Nothobranchius furzeri: one gene and its partners. The protein of the gene in region 2 purifies or fractionates together with the protein of the main gene of each other region. This does not show direct contact. Links are inferred from orthologs where the notes say so. Each region holds a gene or a part of one and is shown on either strand. Other genes may lie near its edges.

The links.
Region 1: the proteins of mtx2 (region 2) and immt purify together in Homo sapiens (co-immunoprecipitation; 5 studies listed by BioGRID and IntAct, counting the BioPlex papers as one, with this or other methods). This does not show direct contact. The link is inferred for Nothobranchius furzeri from reciprocal best matches to the Homo sapiens genes MTX2 and IMMT.
Region 3: the proteins of mtx2 (region 2) and chchd6a purify together in Homo sapiens (co-immunoprecipitation; 3 studies listed by BioGRID and IntAct, counting the BioPlex papers as one, with this or other methods). This does not show direct contact. The link is inferred for Nothobranchius furzeri from reciprocal best matches to the Homo sapiens genes MTX2 and CHCHD6.

The regions. Positions count from the first base shown.
Region 1 is NC_091741.1:108,911,083-108,918,821, reverse strand, and holds part of immt (MICOS complex subunit MIC60), read right to left. Parts: intron 7,708-7,739; coding exon 7,640-7,707; intron 7,565-7,639; coding exon 7,375-7,564; intron 6,899-7,374; coding exon 6,754-6,898; intron 4,184-6,753; coding exon 4,097-4,183; intron 3,551-4,096; coding exon 3,407-3,550; intron 3,262-3,406; coding exon 3,128-3,261; intron 862-3,127; coding exon 758-861; intron 86-757; coding exon 1-85. UniProt on the Homo sapiens protein: Component of the MICOS complex, a large protein complex of the mitochondrial inner membrane that plays crucial roles in the maintenance of crista junctions, inner membrane architecture, and formation of contact sites to the outer membrane.
Region 2 is NC_091752.1:28,395,351-28,403,554, forward strand, and holds mtx2 (metaxin-2), read left to right. Parts: upstream 1-2,556; 5' UTR 2,557-2,698; coding exon 2,699-2,738; intron 2,739-4,464; coding exon 4,465-4,512; intron 4,513-4,601; coding exon 4,602-4,648; intron 4,649-4,969; coding exon 4,970-5,042; intron 5,043-5,122; coding exon 5,123-5,199; intron 5,200-5,281; coding exon 5,282-5,374; intron 5,375-5,442; coding exon 5,443-5,481; intron 5,482-5,560; coding exon 5,561-5,686; intron 5,687-5,749; coding exon 5,750-5,826; intron 5,827-6,087; coding exon 6,088-6,247; 3' UTR 6,248-6,999; downstream 7,000-8,204. Other genes in the region: homeobox protein Hox-D4b, read left to right, coding at 1-21. UniProt on the Homo sapiens protein: Involved in transport of proteins into the mitochondrion.
Region 3 is NC_091755.1:50,941,122-50,948,860, reverse strand, and holds part of chchd6a (MICOS complex subunit mic25a), read left to right. Parts: intron 1-6,090; coding exon 6,091-6,226; intron 6,227-7,739. UniProt on the Homo sapiens protein: Component of the MICOS complex, a large protein complex of the mitochondrial inner membrane that plays crucial roles in the maintenance of crista junctions, inner membrane architecture, and formation of contact sites to the outer membrane.

The DNA of each region.
Region 1 (7,739 bases), on a different chromosome or scaffold from region 2:
CGCAGCTAAGATCAGAGGACGAGCAGCCGCCACCTTCTGTCCTTTAGCCTGGTTGATCACAGACTTCAGACCTTCCAGGGCTTCACTGAAATGAGACACAGAACAGAACCAGCAGGTTTTAGGAAGACATGAACAGAATCCTGAAGAACCAAGATCAGAGTGTGTGTGTGTGTGTACTTGTCTTTATATGTTTAAGTGGCCTAATTTGGACTTTTAACATGTGGACATTTCCACATTGTGGGGACATGTTGCTGGTCCAGGGTTTAAGCCTGGACCACACAGCGAGTTTTGGCCGTCGTACAGGATTGTTCCTGTCGCTGTACGACAAGATTCCAGTGAGGCGGACCGCACGTCTCTGTCCCTCAGGACACGCTCCGTCGTGAGCGCACCTCCCAAAGCATACGTCACTAAGCAGACTAGAACAAAGCTGGAAAGTTAAGAGCACTTTTTTACGTCGGCTCATGACCCAACTCCGAGAACAAGCTGCGTTTTTAAAACCCTCGCTTTGGCGTCAGACTGTCGGAGGCTGATTTGGTCGTGAGACGGTCACACTGGACAACCACAAATCTGCAAATCACCCTCAAGTTCACGTTTTTTTTACCTGATTATGCTCCCGACGAGGGATCTGGCTAAGATGGCCGCAAATGGCACCGTGTGATGCGGGCTTTGGAAGTTTGGAATGAACTAACCTTTAGTTTAGGTTATGGTTAGTGGAGTCACGCGTGTGTGTGTGTGTGTGTGTGTGTGTGTGTATTACTTGGCTTTTGAGAGTGTGGTCGTGGCGTCCTTTACAGCAGCGGTTCTTTCAGCTAAAGCAGCTTCTAGCTCCTTCCACTGGGTGGACTTTTCATCAGATGGAGCCTGGACGAGGAATGTGAAATCATTTAGGAGACACCCATTCATCCGTCCTACCGAGACGTTTTCCTGGAACATTTTTTGCCACATTACCTCAAATGCTCTCCACACACTGATGGAAAAACTTTTTGTTTTGTCAAAAGGACGAAAACGTTTAATCGCCTCTGAAACTCAATCGTGGAACAGCCTCATCCAACCCAGAGCAGGCCCACTACCTAGACGATTGGCCCGCAACCCAATGAACCTCAACTGACGGCCCGCGGGCCACATCCAGTCCGTCAGACCTTTGGGCCCTAATGCCCCCCAAGGGGGGGACTTAGAAGTTTAGCAGCAAAATCCACGTTCCAAATATAAATAATTGTTTACATTCTGCAAACACATTTAATTACAACCAAAACAGTTTAGATGGAAAACATCCATTCTTCCATCCATTTTCATCCGCTTATCCAGAGTCGGGTCGCGGGGGCAGTACCCTAAGGTGAGAGGCCCAGACTTCCCTCTCCCCAGCCACTTGGGCCAGCTCCTCCGGGAGAATCCCAAGGCGTTCCCTGGCCAGGTGAGAGACATAGTCCCTCCACCGTGTCCTGGGTCTACCTTTAGGTCTCCTCCCGGTTGGACGTGCCCGGAAAACCTCACCAGGGAGGCGTCCTGACCAGATGCCCGAGCCACCTCAACTGACTCCTCTCGAGAGCCCAGCCACTCTGCGGAGGAAACTCATTTCGGCTGTTTGTATCCACCATTTTGTTCTTTCGGTCACTACCCAAAGCTCATGACCATAGGTGAGTGTAGGAACGTAGAAAGACCAGTAAATAGAGATAAATTTGCCTTCTGACTCAGCTCTCTCTTCACCATGACAGAGCGGTACAATGCCCACATCACCGCAGATGCAGCACCTACCCACCTATCGATCTCCTGATCCAGTTTGCCCTCATTCGTGAACTTGAGATACTTAAACTCCTCCACTTGGGGCTGGACCTCATCCCCGACCCGGAGAATGGTAAATTGTCTGTATTTGTATAGCACCTACTTAGGTTTCTGCAACCCCCCAAGGCGCTTCACAACACAATCAGTCACACACACATTCACACACTGGTGGGGGTGAGCTACAATGTAGCCACAGCTGCCCTGGGGCGCTCTGACAGAGGCGAGACTGCCGAGCACTAGCGCCACCAACCCCTCCGACCACCACCAGTAGGCAAGGCGGGTTAAGTGTCTTGCCCAAGGAGGACACAACAGCAGCATTCTCTGGTCGGAGCCGGGATTGAACCCGCAACCTTCCCATTACTGGACAACCCGCTGTACTTCCTGAGCTGCTGCTGTCATTCTACCCTTTTCCGATTCAAGACCATGGTCTCGAATTTAGAGGAGCTGATTGTCATCCCAGCTGCTTCACACTCAGTTAAGAACCGCTCAGCAAAAGCTGGAGATCACGTTCTGATGAAGCCAACAGGACCACGTCTGCCAAAAGCAGAAACCCGATCCTCAGGCCACCAAAACGGATCGCCTCAACACCTTGGCTGCACCTAGAAGTCCCATCTATAACAGTTATGAACAGAATCGGTGACAAAAGGCAGCCCTGACAGAGTCCAACTCTCACTGGAAACGAGCCCGACTTACTGCCGGCAAGCTCCGACACCGGTCACACAGACCTAACAGCAAAACTCGTAGATTAGTCGGGCGAGCTCCCACGCACCCTCCTGGACCCCGTAAGGGTGCAGAGCTGGTCCAGAAACAAAGCCGTTTTAAATATTAATAAATTACAACAAACAATAATACTTAAAGTGTATTTTAGAAGAGCGTCTTGCCCTCACGGTGTCTGCTGGAGAAAACTCAGGTTTAGTTGAGGACCCCAGCCTAAACTCACCCATCAGACAGCTCCTCCGAACATCACTCGCCTGGCTGCACATACCGCTCCGTCCTCCGCGGACAGGAAGAGCAACCAGCGGAAGAGCCCGGCGTCACAGATGGAACGTCCTGTTCCGTTTGTAAATCTCACTTCAGGAGTTATCGTACATGTTCTGTTTGGAGTCCACCTCCTGATGATCGACAGCTGCTGCCTCTTCATCATTTCAATAGAAGGAAGACACATTTTTCTTTGCCCTTGGGCACGGTTAACTTTACCATTTTGTCTTTTGTCTTAAAGACAACAGGACACCTCTGCTCTAGCCCGACTTGTCATCCTGCGAGCGCGCGCACACACACATACGTGCGCGCGCACACACACACACACACACACACACCTAGAACCACAGGTATCCTCAGGTTGACCCACCTCTGCCTCCATGGCGTCCTTCAGCTTGCGTGTGTGCTGGGTGACAGCCTGCAGAGCCACCTCCTGAGCTCCAATAGCCTGCAGCGTGGCCTTAGCAGAGGAGGCTAGAGAGTCCTCCAGACGAGATGAAAGGGCTGCAAAAACAACAGCAGGCTCAGAAACCTCTTAAAGCTTCAAGCATAAACCCCCGATGCTGCAGACTACCACGCTTCTAAACCAGGGAAGCTTCATTAATGTGTGTGTGTGCGTGTGTGTGTGTGTGTGTGGTTATCCGCTCACAGGCCAGAAGCTTCTCTTCCTCCTGGTCTTGCTGGACCAGTCTAGCAGTGACCTCATCAACTGGACGTTCCTTTAGAGGCTCTGCTGACGCGACTGCTGCCGTCTCTGAAACATCAGCGTGTTTGTGACACTCCTTACACTCGTCTGTAGGACACACACACACACACACACACACACACACACACACACACGAAGCAGCATCATATGAACCTAGTTCATGTTTTTTAAACAGACACTCACACTGATGGTGGTGATCTACACTGTAGCCACAGCTGTAAGTCGCTTTGGACGAACGTGTCTGCTAAAACCACAAACAATGACCTGGACAGAGCCTGGGTTCAAACCGACAACCCACTGGTTACAGGACAAACTCCTAACCCCTGAGCCACCATCACCTCCATCATGTGACCCAAACGTCTGCATGGCTGAAGCACACCCTGTCTCCATAACCACGGTCTCCTGTGCACAGACGACCTGGACATCACGTGACCACCCGGTGACTCTGAAGGTGGTTTTCTACACTGGGATGGAACCATTTAGAACCTGGTGGAGACCAGATTAGGCTTTATGCCCTGCTAGGTAGAACCCTGGGCCTGGAGGAGGCTGGACTTTATTCAGACACCAGTAGGTCCAACCCAAGGCCTACAGGCCAGCACCAGGTCAGAGCTTCCAGAGGGGAGGAGAACGTACCTGCAGCTGCCTCTGAGTCACACGTAGCAGGAACTGATGGGACCTCACTGATGGCCGAGATGATCTGAGTCGCCTCTGCTGACGCTTCTGCATGAACACACACATTACAGGCACAGCGGGTTGGTGTGTGCGCTTACTGAGTTATGTAAAGACAGACCCACCCAGTCCCTGATGAGACACTAATGGCCCTTACACACTAGCATCAGCTCCACCCCGCCTGGACCGGGTTAGGGCTGTTCTCATTCCTGCACACAACCCCTCTTCCCAAGGCGGTCTGCCTGGAACCGAACAAGGCTGACAAACCCACCGCCGGTTGATTGGCCAGCTCAAAATCACGCGTGCCATTAGGGGGAGCGTCCAATTGGCAGATAGAATCAGACACACACACACACACACACACAGTGCTGGCAGACACAGCAAAGCACGATACAAAATCAGAGTCCGAGAGTCCCAAAAGCAAGACTGCTCCGGCTGCTTCTGTTCAGTAATGGACACCGCGGCTGCAAATGCGCTGGCAACGATCATCTGTATGCAGCAGCAGAGCAGGCCGAGGCAGATCAGAGCGAGGGGGACATATATGTCGCAGGTGCGATGAAAAAAAAAATCTGTGTGCATTAAACTATTTTTACACGTAGCACTCGTGCGACATCTTTTCAAGCTACTCCCCCCCCCCCCCCCCCCCAGAACTTTATTGAACAAAGGTACGTTGCTTGCTATCGTGTAAAGAAGATGCCTTTTACTGGTGCACAACGTGCTAACAGGTGCTGTGGAGGAAAACAGAAACCAGAAAAGACACAAAGGCAGAAACGGTCCAAAATCTAGGATTAAAAGTGGAACTACGGGTAGATTAGCTAACGCTAGCGAGTAGCAGATCAAGTGAGGTTAGCCAGGTGGTTAGATCCTGCTTTTTCCAGTTTCGCCGGCTACCAAAGATGAAATCCATCCTGACTAGACATGACCGGCACACAGTGATCCATACATTTGTGATCTCTGGCTTTGATTATGCAAATTCCCTTCTTTATGGATCTACATCTTCCTCGGTTGCGCGCCTACAGCTGGTGCAGAATGCGGCGGCCCGCCTTTTGACGGACACCAGAAGGAGGGAGCACATTAATCCTGTTCTGGCCCAGCTGCACTGGCTCCCGGTGCGTTACTGCATCCAGTTTAAAATTTTACTTCTTGTTTTTAAGTCACTCCGTCTTTATGCTGCTCTGTACTTGACTCAGCTGGTTCTGCCCTACGTACCTGGTCCCAAGTGTTTGGGCGAGGACGCAAGGAGAACGCGCGTTCTCAATCTTTGCGCCTCGTCTCTGGAATCAACTCCCTCTAGCAGTGAGAATGGCCCCCTCTCTCTCCGATTTAAAATCACGCCTGAAGACTCATTTTTATTCCGTGGCTTTTACTTCAGCCGAGTTAGCATTGTACCATGTCTCTGTTTTATTTTTATTGATTTTATAGTAGTCACTGTACTACTTTTATTACTTTCTTCCCGTGTGTGGATTTTTATGCTCTTTTACTGTGCAGCACTGTGGTTGGCCTCGGCCGTGTGGGAATCTGCTTCATAAATAAAATGGAAGTTCCAAATAAACACGATGGTCGTGAAACTAAGAACATCTAAACTCTACCAGCGGAAGAAAAGTCCCCGCCATCCTGTTTATTGTTAGCTTTCTGCAGCACCAGGGAGCAGAACCTCTGGTTGCTGCTTTGAGTCTGCTCCGCTGCGGGGTTATGGCAAGCCACCGTAGCATGTAATTCACAAACGCATCTATCCGTGAACGCAATTTAAACTGGATTAGTGCCAACCCGTACATGTGTCACCATTACATGTTAGCAGTAGAAAGTAAATGTTATTAGCGTTTCCAGTAGCTAGCTACTGAAAATGCTAATTAAATTTTAACTAAGGATACATTTAGGTGACAGCGTGTTGTTTTGAACGCCACTGAGCTGTTATCTAATCAAGTTCCATTGTTAAATGTTCCCGTTTAATCTGATTAATCGAATCGATGACCCAAATAATCGTTTGTTGCAACCCTACACCGCGCTCTTTTGCCCCGCCCACATGCTCAGAGATAACCTCCTGACATCACAGGTCACTGACCGCCCATGTGCCCCCCCCCCGCTGTCTCACACATGTTCTGCACTACTCTTCTCTACCATTTCTGTCCTCGTCTCCGGCTCATCCACCGTCTGACCCTGGAACCAACCCTGCTGTCTGTTCCCGTCACCAACGAGTCCTTTAGGGTCTGCACCGCTCTCTAAACTCTTTCATCATCTAAATCATCTAGCTCATATCCTACCTGTGGATCAGAATCACTAACAATGAGGATTATTATTCCAACAAGCATCAGGCTCCTCAGACTACCTGACACTCGTCACTTCCAGAATGATCCCAACACCAGCTATTCTGACCACTTGTGAACAAGCAGCATCTTTTAGGCAGCGTAGTTTTAAATCTACAAGGTAATTCATGAAGTCCAACCAGCCTGTTGTCGTGTTTTAACGTCGCCATAATCAAATCTCGTATGCGTTTATTCACTCCGCTTGGCCCAAACGCAACACCAAATGAAGCTCATTGCGCTCCACAGCTGGCTCTCCTTCAGCGGCTAATCTGTGGTAGCTTCTGCAGGAGCGGCTGAGAAACGGTGAGAACCTCCTACCCTGTATGCTCTGAGCTGGCGGTGGTGGGACCAGACTGGACTCTGGGCCACTTGCCTCTGCTGCCTCCTTCACACTCTTCTGGGACTTGGCTTTGGGATCCGTTTTTGGTTTATCCAACATGGAGGGTGGCTGGTTCAACTCCACCTGAACAGAAACCATTAGAGATAATAAAAAAAATAATGTTATTGTTCCTAACTACTGAGCCACAACACGTCGAAACAACTTAGCAGCGTAGTCTAATCCAGCTCCTACAAGATCATCCCTGAGCCCCAAGTCCATCGACACGCTCAAATGGTTTACTTAAATCCAAACTTCCTCTGCTGGGAGACGAAAGTGAATTTTGTCACGGTACAGCTGCCACGTCATGTGACCATGAGATGATCTTCCATTTTCATCACAATCCCTAGTTTGTGGCAGCAGCTCAGGGAACACCTAAACCGCGCCTTCTGGTGGCGGCACGCCAGACAGCGAAGACAAAATCAGCACAAATGATGAGAGCCGTCGCTCTAAACAACAAGCCCCGCCCCCTTCTTTAGCTCAGGTGGACTTCACAGGAAAACCTTAACAGGTGACAGGAACTGGACTTTGCGTGTGAACAGGTGTTCACCTCCGCTCCTCACCTGTTTCCTCACAGGGAGACGGGCATCCTCAGGAGCTGGTCCCAGAGCCAGGCCCAGCAGCCAATCAGAGTACGGGACATTCTTCTCCACAGCTGCTCTGAACTTGGGGTCCCATTTGGAGTAGAGCAGTGTCCCTCCCACGCCTCCGCCTACCGTCACCAAGCCGAGAGCAACCACTCTGGAGGCGCCGCTGTGATGGGGAGGGGCAGACGGTTAGGTTTTTACCTGTGAGGTGTGTCCTTACCTCACCTGAGGGGTCAGTTACCTGCTCCTGCTGGTGGAGTAGCACCTGTAGGACTGCAGCGGAGTCAGAGGACTTCTCACACAGTTCTTCTGAAACACACAATGTCCCAGGTACAGTGAAG
Region 2 (8,204 bases):
AAGACCGCGATAAGCGTCTGAAACTCCCCAAAACAAGAGCAGAAAATGGAACTATCGCCGCAAAAACTCAGGTTGCGGAATTGATCCAAGGTGATTGAAGTCTTGAAGGACAATTCTAGGTGAAACCTCGCCGGATTGACCAAAATCTTTGTGAATTCTTTAATCTATTTCTTCTTTTTCACATTTTATTCTGAAGGATTTCAAACATTCCTAATTTACAGGTCATAGAGGCTGCAATCTTTTCTAATGAATGTATTTGAGTTGTAATAATCTTTTTTTCTAGGGTTGCAGACGATCTGTCACCTTTATAGTACAAAAACAACGCAGTTTCACTGATTTCTAAGGATAATGAGATGTCTTTTTGCCTAAACAGGGTTTCTTTCTACAGGGTAAACTTACAGGGTTTTATATTAGCTACCTAAACTAATTTATGAATATGCACATTACCAAAATGTTCCACAAACTGGCGCTTAAAGGCTTAAAAACAAACAGAAACCAGCAGCAGGAAGATCAAATCGCTCGCTGGCTGACTTAGTTGGATAAATACTGTTCTAGCTTTTTGTAGGAAAGTAGCCATATTGTCCTGTCCATCCCCAAAAAAAGTTTATTTTTTGTTGTATTTTTTAATTTTTTTGCTTTTGTGGGCACAAATTAGAAGTAGGCCAGCAGATCATGCACAACATTGATTCAGCTGATGTTCTCAGGGTGACAGGGTTTTATAAAAAGAACTTCCTTGACTGTTTGTTTATTAGCCCCTTATGTTAATGTGGCATACGAAGCATTGATTTTATTCTATTGAACCTTTACGTCAGTACTTATTTTGTATGATTTTAGAAACGTGTTTTATTCTTTTACCAATTGTCTTTGTTCTTTTTGAATCTGTGTTTATTTTTTGAAAAGAAAACATCATTTGATTTTTTATACGTTTAAATGTTTTGATAAAGTAGATAAAAAAGAAATAAAAAAAACTGAATCTGTGTGTGCAGGAGGATTTTTCCTTTATGTGTGTGTTTCATGCAGGGGGACCAACGGAAGTGACGTATGTCAACATGAAACTATCGTCTCAAACAACAAATCCAAAATCCAAAACCTTGCACTAAAAACATTCCACTGAATTAAAAATTATATAGAGAAATATATGCAATGATGTAGCTCTGTTAATTGAATTAAACGAATTAAACGTTAAAAATGTACAAATTTAAATGCTTTCCACGCGATATTTCTCCACTATTTAACCAATAAAGAATAAACTTCATGACTTGATATTAGTTTTTATACTCAATAAGTATCTATTTACTCTTAAAAATAAAAAAAATATTAAAGTACGAGCCTTTGATTTAGGCTGTTAACGATCTAATTTTTTTTAAGTTGCAGAAGGTCTTTGCTGAGTGTTGATTACCGGGACAAGAGGCGCCATTAATAGGCAGCTTCTGGTCGAGACGCGGTTCACACCAGCAGCTAGGTTCAAACCATCGACATATGCATATGGTTCAAACACTGGAGCATCACTAACAACAACTGGTGCAGCAAAATGTGGGACTTTTAAATACACACACATGCAGGCCATGTTTATTTAATTATTGTTACTCACACACAAAACGGTCTAATGTACCCACTAATTGGGTAAAATAGGGTTCGCATTTGCAGGTTTGTTCACCATCCTCCTTATGTAAAAACAGGAGCGCTCTCTACTGGTGGATTTGCCACTGCATACTGACAGTGAGGAGCAGATCAACAAAGTATTTTAAAAGTTTACCCCAAAATAAATAAATAAATAAATAAATAAATAAATAAATAAGGTAGCTACAAAGTGTTTGCAAATAGTGTCAGTGTGCTAAAAGGATTTAACAACCAAAGTTCAATTTCAATTAAGAGTTAAAAAAACCTTATAATGAATTGAATACATTTAAAAAAATAAATATGTTAATTAATGGGCCATTAGATCGACACCTTCATAATACTACAATTATAGTTATGAATACATAATTCAGAAGTGCCACTTTAAGTCTCTCTGTATATTGAAAACAATTGCAAATGGAAAGAAGACAGCCTTACACCTTACACTAACAAGGAAGATCTCGAGTCTGAAGAATGGTTGTCTAAAACTAAATATAAGTCTGCTTTAAGAGATTTAAGTGGGTTAACGTGGACTAATAGTTGTTATATCCCAAAATGTGTACTGTATACATATTTTGATTTAGAATTTTTGAAAAATTTCAAACGAATTTCTGCTTTTTAGCCCCCATTTGGTTTTTGTTGAGAAGCTTAGACACCAACATTTCTCAACTGAGGAGCAATAAAGAGGCTATTCTATTCTATTCTATTCTATTCTATTCTATTCTATTCTATTCTATTCTATTTGATTCGAGATCATACAGATGTGATGAGATTAAGATAAACGTTTTGCTTTTTGTTGTTTTACCACTGAATAACTACACATCGATCTCAGGAAACTTAAAATAAAATGTTGATTTTAAACGCGCAATTTAAATGCTCCCAAGCATAAAATTAAAGTAAATGTTTCTAAGGTTTGTGCGTAAAGTGGAACCAAACATCAGACTGCCTGTGCACCGGGGGACATCAAATGCGGGCGGAACCATAGAGAACAACACTTGTCCTTAACCTGACATGAAACACAAGTCGAGTAATAATCGCTGTCTGTAATTACAGTTTAGCAATAATAGTGTTATACAGCACCATGTCTCTGGCAGCGGAGGCTTTCGTGTCGCAGTTGGCAGGTAAAGTGTTTAATTCAGGCTCTTAATGATCGTCTAGGTTACCTTTAGCTCTGAGCTAATGGTTAGCATCTCAGAAAAGGGAGTTTACTCACGTGTATGTGACCTTTTAAAACAGAAAGCTAAGCTGGACATTTAACATAACCTATGCCTATAAACAGAAGTGGTGTCTGACAAGCTAGTAATTCCGGATAAATGAAGGCGATTTGTTGCAGCTAGCTGCTGCTAATCACAGACATTTATCAACTGATCATCATTAAGAGCAGGTTTTAGCAGTTTGCTGCTCTGGAGGTGATGCTAAAGAGGAAAATTGTGTAAATGTTTAATCGTTTTATTCCAAGCAATATATTTATTAAGTGGAATATAGTTTAAGAAATCTAGATAAAAGTTTAGTAAGAGGTTTGTTAGCAAAAACACATCATTTATATTTTTATTTAACCAGGAAGGACCCATTGAGATTAAAAAACGTAATTTTCAAGGGAGTCCTGGACCAGAAGGTTTCCTGTGATTGAGAGTTCAAATAATTTCATGCACTTGCTCTACATTAAATGGAATAACATTAAAAGAGGCACCAGGGGTCATTGGGCAAGCTGTGCAAGGGGAAACAGGAGGTGGTCCAACAGAAGTAGACATAAACCAGATGAGATCAAATGTTTGTGAAAGCAGTTTAAAACCTCAGTTCTATCATACACCTGGACAGAGTTGTTCCAAACAAATTTAGGATAACGTGAGAACCGTGTTGGCAGATAAGGACTTAAAGAGCAAATTGCAGGTTAGAGACTCCCATGAACCAATGTTTAGAGAAACATAATAGAAACTCGTTTTAAAAGTTTTTTTTTACACATACATGAATTATTTAGGCTTTTAGAGTCATTTTTGTGAGAAAGTTTTTTTTGTCAAACCAAGTGACGTCAGAGGAGGACTGTTAGCTTAATCCAGAGAAAAATATGGATTCTAATGCGGCTCTGACACAGAGGAAACTTTACATGTTTGTATTTCTACTTCTGATTGACCAAAACCATAAAGTTATGAGTTTGCTGCACGCCCCAGAGGGCAGAGACAAACCAGAGGGAGAAATCATTGGCCAGAGGAGAAGCAGCAGGTAACATCACAATATTGTACAGATTACTATCGTGTACCAGACAATTAAAATAGTATTGGTCAGTTAATATAATATAATACTAATGAGCGTCTGTCAGCGGTCTCATACTCGTTAATATCTGTTCACCTAACGTAGTTTAGTGCTTTAGAGAGACGGAGAGCTTCCGGTTCTGGAGCTCATGCGGGCTTCTGTGAGCTGGATCCAACCTAAACACAAGCAAGCAAGTCCAGTTGGTATTTTTAAAAGCTGCACATGATCCTCTCCTGGTTGTCCGGGCGGCGGTTCTGATCCGGTTCCGAGGTTCTCAGTTGTGGTGGATAAGTAATAGTCTGATTTGGCATTTTTGAAGAATAGTACATTTATTTCTTAGTTAGATAAACATCTGATTAAAAGTATTTTTCCTTCAAATTGACTTTAGCAACTTAAGTTTTCAAATGTGCATCACGGGTTGACCACAAACCACGTGAAGCTGAGATCTGGAGGTGGAACCAGGTTTGGTCACACAGCTGAACAATGTTTCCAACTACGGTACATCAGAAAACCCAAATCAGACTGACCCAGATAAAACCAAGGAAGTCACGTTTTAACTGTGCATCATGTCTGCACATGTTTGTTTGTGACTGACAGCTGCTGAGCCTTGGCCTGAAAATGCAACCCTGTACCAACCCCTGAAGGGTAAGACCGAGAACTGGAAGAACAATCCTAATTATTTATTTGCCAGTTCTCTAGGTGATCTCCTTCTTTCTTTGTTTATTTCTAAACAGAAGATCAGATCCTGCTCTCAGACCATGCGTCGTCTCTTGCTGTGCAGGTAGATTGTTTATGATTGTGCTCAAATGTCTGCATGTTTATTCTGTGTGGTCCTCTATTCCTGCCATAGTCTTACATTTATGTAAAGCAGCATACAATGATTTTATTCATTTAAACTGACAATTTATTCCATCTATAAAGGGATATATTATATAAAAATAAGTACATATTTTTAAAAACCAACAGGTTTTCAACTAAGCATCATTTGAACTTGATTTACAGTGAATTAGTTGTTTTATATCTTTTTAGTTTCCAGCCATTTTTGGAAGTTTTGTTTTTACATCTTCCCTCAGTGACCGTTCGTCTGGTTTCTCCTCTGCAGGCCTATCTCAGGATGTGCGGTCTACCTGTGCAGGTGCTTTGCAGAGTGAACTCAGAATTCATGTCGCCATCTGGTCAGTACACATGCTGTTCCATAGCCCTAATCCCCACACTTTGTTCTTTCAATCAAGCTTTTTATTTCCTTTTCCTGCAGGGAAAATTCCCTTCATCCATGTAGGGAACCAGGTGGTTTCAGAACTTGGTCCGATAGTGCAATTCACCAAAGCTAAGGTGATGCGACAGTTTCACAGAAACAGATCAACTCAAAGTGTGGATTTGATCGTTCTTATAAGGCTCGTTTTTTTCTTCCCAGGGTCACTCTCTGAGTGACGGCTTGGACGACGTTCAGAGAGCTGAGATGAAAGCTTACATGGAGCTTGTTAACAACATGCTGCTCACTGCCGAGGTACGACACAAATACGCATAGGAACAACACACGGTTGTTACCATAACAACTCCTCCACCTCTCTGCAGTTATACATCCAGTGGTGCGATGACGCTACAGCGGCAGAGGTGTGTATTCTCATTCTTTGAGTATTTTTTTTTTATTGTACTCTTTATCGTTTCATTGGTGTGTCTTTATTTTGAGTAGATCTCACGTCCCAGGTACAGCAGCCCTTACTCCTGGCCTCTCAGTAAAATCCTGGCCTATCAGAAGCAGTGGGAGGTGCGCAGGAAGATGAACGCCATCGGCTGGGGAGGGAAAACGCTTCAGCAGGTCAGTAAAAAATAAATCAGCCGATACATTGAGTATTTGTTTTGATGTCTGGCTCTCTTTTAGGTTTATGAAGATGTGAGTCAGTGCTGCCAGGCGCTCTCTCAGAGGCTGGGGATGCAACCGTACTTCTTCAACAAACAGTATGTATCCAGTAAACCTGATCGGTTCTGTAATCTGCTGGCATCGCTTGAGCACCACCTTGTGGATCATTGTTGTCACGGCGTCTTAAATTGAAGACATTCTCATTGAAAAGGTTAATTGTTTGTTGGGTGAATTTGGTCTGTAATGGTTTTGTAAATGGGGCGAACAAAATGAATAATACAATTTTTGAGTAAAGTATCTGAGTGTATGTGTGTGTGTGTGTGTGTGTGTGTGTGTGTGTGTGTGTGTGTGTGTTCTAGGCCCACAGAGCTGGATGCACTGGTGTTTGGTCACCTCTTCACCATACTGACCACCAGACTGACCAGCAGTGAGCTGGCAGAGCGGGTGAAGAGCTACAGCAACCTGCTGTCCTTCTGCAGACGCATCGAGCAGACTTACTTTGAAGACAAGAGCTCATGAAGGCCCGATAAATGACCTCGCCCTGTACATTCTGCATTTCCGTCTCTCATTCTCCTGACTGTAGCACACAGCCCCCTAAAACTGCCCATTTGAAATATTCTCTCCTTTTGCTTCCTGCCTGAATGTCGCATGCAGCTTGAGAGATGATAGTTATTTTAAGACATGAGAAAATGTTTTTTATTAAAGTCACTGCAGATAAAAGAAAGTCCACGAAATGACATTTATTGCCAATTAACAAGGTATATATGTCGCCTCTAATAACGAGTTCCAGAGAATCATCGAATGTAGAGCCGATGGGAGCAGATGTCGTAGTTTAGACTGATTGGGTTTTTGAGTTGAATGGATGCTCTGTGAAACAGTCATTTGCATATTTATTTACAGTCTACCTTTCCACCAGTTGCATTCTTAGGTTGCTGGAAGATTTTTTTTTTGAGCCACGTTTGGAACGGTAGGCGTATGAATTTCACAGCTGTGCAACACGACCAACTTTCAGAGGGCAGAACTCCACTTGACCCCAGTTTGAGGTCAAACCGTGCACATTTTATTTTTCTCCTGGGGTGCTTAGAAGCTTGTAAGAAATGCAGAACAGCGTTGGCAAACCCAGAGCTGCTTTTGTCTTCTATTGTACAAAGAAACTAAACGGGAACATAGTGATGATGGTGTGATTTAAATGTTTTTCCACTTTGTTTTCCTTATGTTAAAGTGCCTAAGGCAGATTTTCAGCTCAATAAACTTTTACTTTCCCCAATAAATGTATTTTTGTTTTACTTTGAAGCTCACGTTTTAATGTTATATTTCAACTTCAAAGGGGAGTGCAAACCAAAATTGAAAACAGCTGCAAAGATAAGTCCGTGAGGTCTATTTGTGGCTCCAGTGGCAGCTGTATCCACACTTGAATGTGTTCCTGCCTCCAGGTCTCATACAAGCTCATTGGTAACGTCCGATCACCTCTGGATGCCCTGCTGTTGACCAGGTTGTGTGTCTGTGTGTCAGACAGAGTCAGCGTCTGTCTTCCAGGTTTCCTGTGAGGTCGGGGTTCGACCTGTGAACTTCCAGGAGCTGTGACATCATGAGTGATGAGCCACACTGACCAAATGCTGCACAACTGGAGGTCGTCAGCCAGTTAACAGATGGAGATAAACTGGATCAATGCAGTCTTCTGACTTCTGCTTTTTACTAAACTGTGATGGAATCTTTTCATTTTATTTTTTTAAATTCAGTCAGATGTGATGCTCCGGGTACGTGTGTTTCATCTGTCTCAAACACTTACAGAAGTATTTACAGTTAAAAAGTAAAAGGTTAATAATAGAGGAACGATCACAGAAGGGTTATAAATGTTTTAAAACTATCTTAGTTTCCTTCCTATTCCTTGATTTGACTTTTATTCACAAATCACTTTTCAGATAAATTCATATTACCAAAGTTCTTAACATCCATCCATCAATTTTCCTTCTCTTATCCGGGGTCGGGTCGCGGGGCAGCAACCTAAGCAGGGAGGCCCAGACTTCCCTTTCTCCAGCCACTTGGACTAGCTCCTCCGGGAGGATCCTAAGGCGTTCCCTGTTCAGCCGTGAGACATAGTCCCTCCAGCATGTCCTGAGTCTTTCTTTAGGTCTCCCAGTTGGAAGTGCCCAGAAAACCTCACCAGGAAAGCATCCAGGAAGCATCCTAACCAGATGCCACCTCAACTGGCTCCTCTCGATGTGGAGGAGCAGTGGATCTAAAATAGAAAAAATGCTGGAAGTGCTGCAGGGCTGTAAGAAATTTTATCTGGTGCTCTTCAGCCGAGGGATCCACATGATTGTTGGGCAAAAGGAGATCTGAGGCACTCAGGAGATACAAAATTAAAAAGCCTTTATTGGCGCATGGCTTAAATTGTTAAAAACATAAATGTCAACGCATTATGTTGCTTTTGCCGAGCAGTGGAGCTACTCTGAGCTCCTCCCAGATGACCGAG
Region 3 (7,739 bases), on a different chromosome or scaffold from region 2:
GAAATAACAACATCATTTTTTGTGTTGAAAAAGAAGAGTGAAAAGGTTAGACTGAGAAGTGGCCGTTTTGTTTTATTTTACTTAAAGCTACATAGAGCTAACCTGCTCTAGCTAACTTTTCATCTGAAGTTCATCCTGGTTGCTTTAAATGGCAAGGTAAAACTTACAAACTTGTTTGTTTACTGTTTGTCAGCGCGCTCACAGTGAAAGTTCATTATTTTGTAATTAAAAAGTGGAAAACATGTTACCGTAAATCCTCTAATACATGCCTTATTCAATTAACGGCCGGGTCTCATATTTTGGCCGGTGTCGGAGTCGGCGGAGGTGAATAATGGCCGGTTTCTTATTGTGGCCGGGTGGAATGTGGTAACAAGCAAGTACGGGGGCGGTTGTGTCATCGTCTCACTTTTGATTTGCCAGTGATAGACCGTGAGGGTAACTTTAACCGTGCGGAGACGAAGAGGAGGCGAAAATTTGATATCAAGTTCAAAGAGAACGTGCGCTGCAGAACACTGGGGAGCCATAGGGGTTGTATGAACTAGTCGACTTCACTATAGTGACTTTTTATGCCTGTCATCGACTAGTCGCTGTCACGTGATAATGACCGGCAAGATGCAGCCCACGGAAAAGACAGCAGCCTGCTGTCAGCAGGTGACAAGCTCCTGCGCTCGGGGGGGCAACGCGCTGTGCCAGAGCGTCAGTACTGACACGCGATCGTTCATGTCGGTTCATTTCCTTTAATGTTTTCTGTCTTTTATTTGTGCCTGATGCGTTTCGCTGTGGAGCGGGGCGCATCACCTTGTCCTCCGGTGACGCACCGATCACTGATGCGGCCACCAAGCAGCGGCACTCCGCTGTTTTTGCGGTCGGTAGATCTTTAAGAACTGCAGCTCAAAGGTAACTCATAAGGTGAATATATATGAACCCAGGTAGCAGTTTCTCTTTAGGATTGAGAGGAGATGCAGGAAGATAATAAACAGGCAGGACAGAAAAATAGTCAAATAAAAACAAGTTAGTTTTTGTACCTGGTGGTTGCAACAAACAGACACCATTGAAGGTAATCAGAAGTGAGGAACAGAAAATGAAATAATTATTTTAATGTTTAGAGCAGCAGGAACTCCGAGAGGCTGCAGGCGCATCAGTGAGTTTGCGGCCGCTGTGCAGGGGGAGGGGGGAGAGGGCTGAAGCAGAAACTACCGTTGTTAAAAGAAATGTGTTTAACTTTGAAAATGTGGGTGCAATTTTAATTGTCAAAAACTCCAGCGAACCATTAGTTCATTTTGCTCAAATAGAAATAGAGGCCTGCCTCAAATTCTGGCCCTCCTTCCAATAAAGGCCTGGGGCTTGGTGAGCTTGAGTCAAATACAGGCCCGGGCCTGTATTAGAGGATTTACGGTATGTTAGGACTCCCTGTGGAATTGAAATTACGTAACCTGATTTTAAGAAACAGGATACAGGTCAACAGGGTGCACCCAAGAGATTTAAAAGGATGTACACTTTGGCCAAGTGATTAGAATATCGTATGTTAAATGTTTTTTGGTGTATTGAGTGTTTTTTTTTCTTTTCATTATTGTTAAACTGTGTTTTTAACTACTCAATTCAGTTAGTAAAATTTGGGTTGTTTAGAAAAAATCATCTTCTGGTTTTTGAGTCTGACTAAAACACACCACTGTGCTCCTATGTCCGAACCTACTGGTCCATCATCATAATTGGTAAATACAGAGGTGTTACACCAGTCTGTACCTGCGTAGGCGTACCTAACTTGCTTGTCTCCGCTTCAATCAGTCAGAATCTATTTCAGCGAGGCGCCGAAGCAGCAAACCTGTCACACTTAATGCTCACAAAGACCGACAGGCAAAGAAATTGTAATACAGCCCACATATCAAATTAAGCACAGCCAATTCAATCCCTCAAAGCTCACTTTTCTGCTGTATTTGATCAGAACGATCCTACACACTCAATTAAGTGTGATTTAGTTTTAATTGTAGGATTTACAGTGAAGCACGTACCACACATCCCACTCGTTAAACAGGTGCCCATTAGTGGAATTGTAACTTGATTTATCATACTCTCTTTATGCGTTTTCTATTGTTCTACGTAAGATTGTTTTTTATACTGTACCTGAAAAACAATGCAAGAAATGAATTACTAAACAGAACCAGGTGTGAAGTCTTTAACTGCAGAAACAATTAAACAACTCTTGGTGTTTGGGCTAAAGCCACTGTGTGCATTTTAGAACATCCCTAGGTCAAATTTAGGTGGAAAAATGCTTAATTTCTTCAAGAAGAAAGCATCAACACAGCCAGTCACGTGATCGTAAGGTTGCAGGTTCCATCCCAGCTCCAACCAGAAAGGGCTGCTGTTGTGTCCTTGGGCAAGACGCTTAACCTGCCTGTATCAAGTATTAGGAAGAAAAAAAACTTCACAAATCAGAAACAAATAATTTATCGTAAAATAAATTATTTCAAAAAGCATCAGGTATCAGGAAATAAACTTCAAACAAAAAAAACAACTATAATTAACTAAAACCCACCACGCTTCATAAAGTGTCAAATGAAAATAATAAATAAAACAATTAAAACATCTGTTTGACAAAAGCCTCAACTATTAGGAATAAATGTACCAATACATTAAAAAACATATCAAAATAATATGGGTCCAGGATAAAATCAGAGATCAAAAATACAGAATCAATTATGAAATGTTGTGTTTGTCCCGATACTTGAAGTTTCTCCATGATACCTGATGTCTCTTGTTCTGGTGCAGTTTAGCTTGATCTGCAACACGATTTCCTTTGTGCCTTTTCATATAAAGATCTAAAATGTTCTACAACGGACTTCGAGAGACTCTGAACAAATGTTTAAAATTAAATCTAAATATATTAACCAGTGTGTGAATGTGTGTGTGAATGGGTGCATGACCCTTGGGGGGGTTGTAGAACCCTAAGAAGGTGCTATACAAAAACAGGTTACTTACCATAAAATATAAAACCCAGGAATGTCAGTAGCATGGAAAGACAACGGGGGCTTAGCCCGCAGGGTTGTGGAATGGAACTGGCACGTACTGACAGCCAAAAGAATCAGGGGAGTGTCCAGGGGGTGGCCTGGGGTAGCAAATGCCACCCTTGGAATCTGATTGGCCACCCCAGGGGCCACCACACTGAATTCACTTTAAATTGGCTTTTCATTGTTCACAAAAGGCTTGGGGTAAAACAAAAAAATGAAATAAGCATAACCATTGGTGCCACCCATGTACAAAGTAGTGCCTCACCTGGGCCACCCCATTTTCAAAGATCTGGACACGCCACTGAAAAGGATGTGTTATAATTAGAGTTTGTAGAAATTTTTAAGTGCGCACCTGAACCTTATAGATATAGTTTGTGACACGATGAGAATTACTGCCTTGGGGTAATTTTTCGGGGGATCTGAAGCCCACCCTAAATAGGCACAATGATGTCCATTATAAAATTTGTCCACCAAGCACAGCTGATTGGGCGACGGTGGCACAGGAGTTAAGCGCTCGCCCCGTAACCGGAAGGTTGCAGGTTCGAGCCCCGCTCAGTCTCTCTCTGTCGTTGTGTCCTTGGGCAAGACACTTAACCCACGTTGCCTGCTGGTGGTGGTCGGAGGGACCGGTGGCGCCAGTGCTCGGCAGCCTCGCCTCTGTCAGTGCGCCCCAGGGCAGCTGTGGCTACATCGTAGCTCATCACCATCAGTGTGTGAATGTTTGTGTGAATGGGTGAATGACTGATTGTGTTGTAAAGCGCCTTGGGGGGTTCCAGGACTCTAGAAGGCGCTATATCAAATACAGGCCATTTACCATTTACCATTTTGTTTTGACAAAACAATGCAATTGAACAGTCATGTAAACTTAACGCACTGAAGTGACTATTTATAATCCCAAATCACACAGATTTTAAACACCAGGCGTATGGCCATTGAGTATCTAATATAAATATCTATAATTGTGCTGAAGGAAAATCCCCATTGGGTAACTGACCGTCTTCACGCTCTGTGATTGGCCAGTCATATAGGGCGCCTGCCCCTCCCTACACACAAAACTCTGCAGCCCCAGTCCGGCCCATGCATCCACACACACACACACACAGATGGTAACGGATCTCTCTGTGCTTGCATCTCTGTTGCTCACGTTTCTTCAGAACTCCTTAGGTTTTCTTCAGCTCACCTCTTTTTCGGTTTAATATTTAAAGTTACTTTTTCGTAACGTACGTGGTGCATTTGACAAGACAGAGCTGAAAACGGCTCGTGCTGAATCGCTCACTGCCTCCACTCGGGTTTCTCTCTCTCTCTCTCTCTCTCTCTCTCTCTCTCTCTCTCTCTCTCTCTCTCTCTCTCTCTGTGTCTGTCTGTCTGTCTGTCTGTCTCTCTCTTTATGTATTAATTCATGCATTTAAATATTAATGTTCTAATTTAATTGAAAAACTTGTTCTGTAACAGTTCCTTTACTATTGTGATAAAAAATATTTAATCTGAATTCTGAGGCTGCTCTGTAAATAGTTTTCAAATAAACAATACACATAGCAACTTTTGATCATTCCATATCAATGTCAGACTTAAAATAATGTATAGATGTAAACCACACCCACTTCCGGGTTAGGCCACGCCCACTCCGAGTACAGATACAGATAATTTAGATGGTTGAACAGTAGGGATGTGAATCTTACCCCCAAATTCCACTACCTCCGCTCCCCACCTTCCGCAGCCGCTCGCTTCCGAACTCAATTTTTACTGGTACCCGCTCTACAACGGCTCCGCTCCATTGTGGAGACCTGAGGTGCGCAAACAAGCATGCGCAGGATTTTCGAGATCCTGCGATACAGTCCGAGCAGTAAACGCGGAAGTTAGATCCAAACACCTGTTGTGTGGGAGAAGCATCTGCATGAGCTGTTTAATCTGCCCATCATTTGTGTTGAGAGATCAGCAGTGTTTGGATCAACAAAGTGTGTCTACTTTGATAGTGGAAACTGTATTCATAGCTTACTTTTGTGCATTTAAAGTTCAACCGCCACTGATAGTTGTTAAAAGTTGTTAAACCTGTGCATATGAATCAAAAAACACTTTTTGTTTATCGATTTATTGTTAAATAACGGAAGTTGTGCTTGCTCCCTTTCCTGTTGGGCGGTTGTGATTCCTGTCCATTGACTGCGGAGGTGCTCCGGCGTCCGGCAAAAATAGGATCGATTCTATTTTTGCCGGACGCCGGAACAGAGGGCGGCGCACTGCCGCAGCACGGCTGCAGTAGTGGAATAGCTCTGATTGACTACAACGGGACCGATTTTGCTGCGGAGTTCGTGGCGGAGCGGAGGTAGTGGAATTTGGGGGTTAGAGCAACTCACGATTTGATTTGATTCTGATTCTTGGGGTGCTGATTCGATTCAGAATTGGTTCTCGATTCTCAATTTAAATCGATTCACAGTCAGTATTAACAAAGAGTGTCAACTCCAGGATTAACTACTTTGTTGTACAAGTTAGTTAAAGCTATGGGACACTGGTCATGCTCCAAAAATGCAAATTTACAATGTAAAATAAAGTGATTCTAAAACTGTAAACAGAAGCAATCTTTTGACCAAAAGGCAACATTTATTTTTGCTTATCTTGTAAAATATAACAAATCTGTAGATCTCAAACCTGTAACATGCCAAATATTTGAGTTCTTGAAATCGATTCGGAACCTTTGTGAATCGATTCTGAATGTTTATAAATAAGAATCCCGATTCAGACTTGAATCGACTTTTTTTTCAGCACCTCTAATGAACAGATACAGATAGTGGTGTACTTGCTCATCCCTAGTATCTAATAGTTTCTACAGTACAGGACTGATCAGGCAAATGAAATCTTCCGACTGATTTCCCCACATGCAGCCATGCCGTAATCATAGAATCATTTCTGCAGGGTCTAGGGCAAATCCGTTTCAAAATGAAACTGGTGTAAGAATCGTGGAGTGATGCTTCAAGTTTTATTCTTGAAGTACTTCATGTTTTACTGTCAGGGAAAATATACGGAAAACAGGATTTTTGTTGTCTTCATGTTCACGAATCTTTCTCTGGGTGTTTGTTGTTTCTTTTTGCAGGTCTCGCAACACAACTCCAGTGTGTTCTGGCCTCCAGGCTCAGATTTTATCCTGCTACAAGGACAACAAGGAGCAGACTCTAAGGTGCTCAGACCTGGCTAAGGAGTACATGCAGTGTATACATGCTGCAAAGAAGGTAAGAGACTTTAGGTATCTGTAAGAACCTGATCATTCAGATAACATCTCCCCATCATTGAAGCCTTGAATTTACATTAAATGAACACCATTTGCTTCTAACTAGATTATCTTGGAACCAAAAGTTTAAAAACTAAATGAAAGTGCCTTTTTATATAGTCAAAGAACCACACTTTCTAGTGGAGGTGTTCTGATTTAGAGCAGCACATACCCTTTGTGTTCTTTTTTTGTGTCGACGTTAAGGGGCACAAGGCGGTAAAAAGTTATAATTGCTAGGATTTTGAGTGTTGCGTCTCAAGGTTTTTACACACAGAAATCCTGTTATTGAAAACAGATTTCAGAGCGAAAGTCTAAGTTCAAAAACTTAAGTTCTTCCACTCGACTTGAGTTGTTTCCCCACGACTTTAAACTGACAACAGTGTGGTTGCTTTAAAATAAGTTCACCTCGTCTCTACAGACGGGTGTTGGGGCTAATTTTAGGTTGTGTTTGACAAAAAATTAAAGCGTGGGATGAACAGAAAATATGATCACTCAAGATAACGATGAGTTTAAAGCAAGATGTTTTCCCAGATGGTGTCATTCGATGTTTTTCCGAATATTTTCCTCAGCAATGCAGTGGATATGTGTAACAGAAGAAAATCTAAAACTGGAATGTAGGAGCATTGCAATTTTCATTTCTTTATTTGTGTTAATTTAAACAGTTTGGCTCCAGGCTGTGGTCACTTAAAGAAGATCATGTTAGAAAGTGTATTTCTAAATCCAGTTTAATTTATATTTTATTACGTTTAATCTATTAAATCTGCATCTATTGGCTCAACTTTTAGTCACTGTCCGTTTTCGCAGCAGCAGATTAGTGTAATTGTTTTTTTGTCTGATTTGCTTCTCATATTTACTTCCGTGTGTCATTATTAAGCTCTGGAAAGTCATGCTTGTTTTGTGTTTGTTTCCTTTCAAATAAGTCATAGAACTCTTAAAAGTCACTTTTACTCTCAAGTCTTTTTTTTGTCTTAACTCTTTGTTCTTCAGGCTTCAGTGATCTTTTACTATTATGTATCACTGCTAAAAAAAACTACTTCTTTAAAACTAATGAGCTGACAGTGAAGTTACCTTAAGAACAAAAAGCAAGATTCAGGCCTAGTCCACACGTAGCCGGGGTTTTTTAAAAACGAATATCCGCCCCTCCAAAAACGTGCATCCACACCACCTCGTTTTAAAAACAAACTGTCCACACGTACCCGGATAAATATGTTGTTAAGGACATGCCAGACCTGTAGGCGGCAGTACTTCCCCCATTCTTAACCTCGTCCTTCGTCTGTGGTCTTCCGCGAGGAGCAATAATTCCGCTTGCAAAAACAAACAAGCAAAAAAGCGCTTGGACAATTGATGGATCGGGTAGTGACAGAGCGCAGCTCTGAGGGCTTCCATGATGCCGGCTAGTGTAAACACAGGTCGCACACGTGATGTCAGCATTTTTTTGTCGCGGAAAGTGACGTTGTGGACCTTAAAACTCCGGT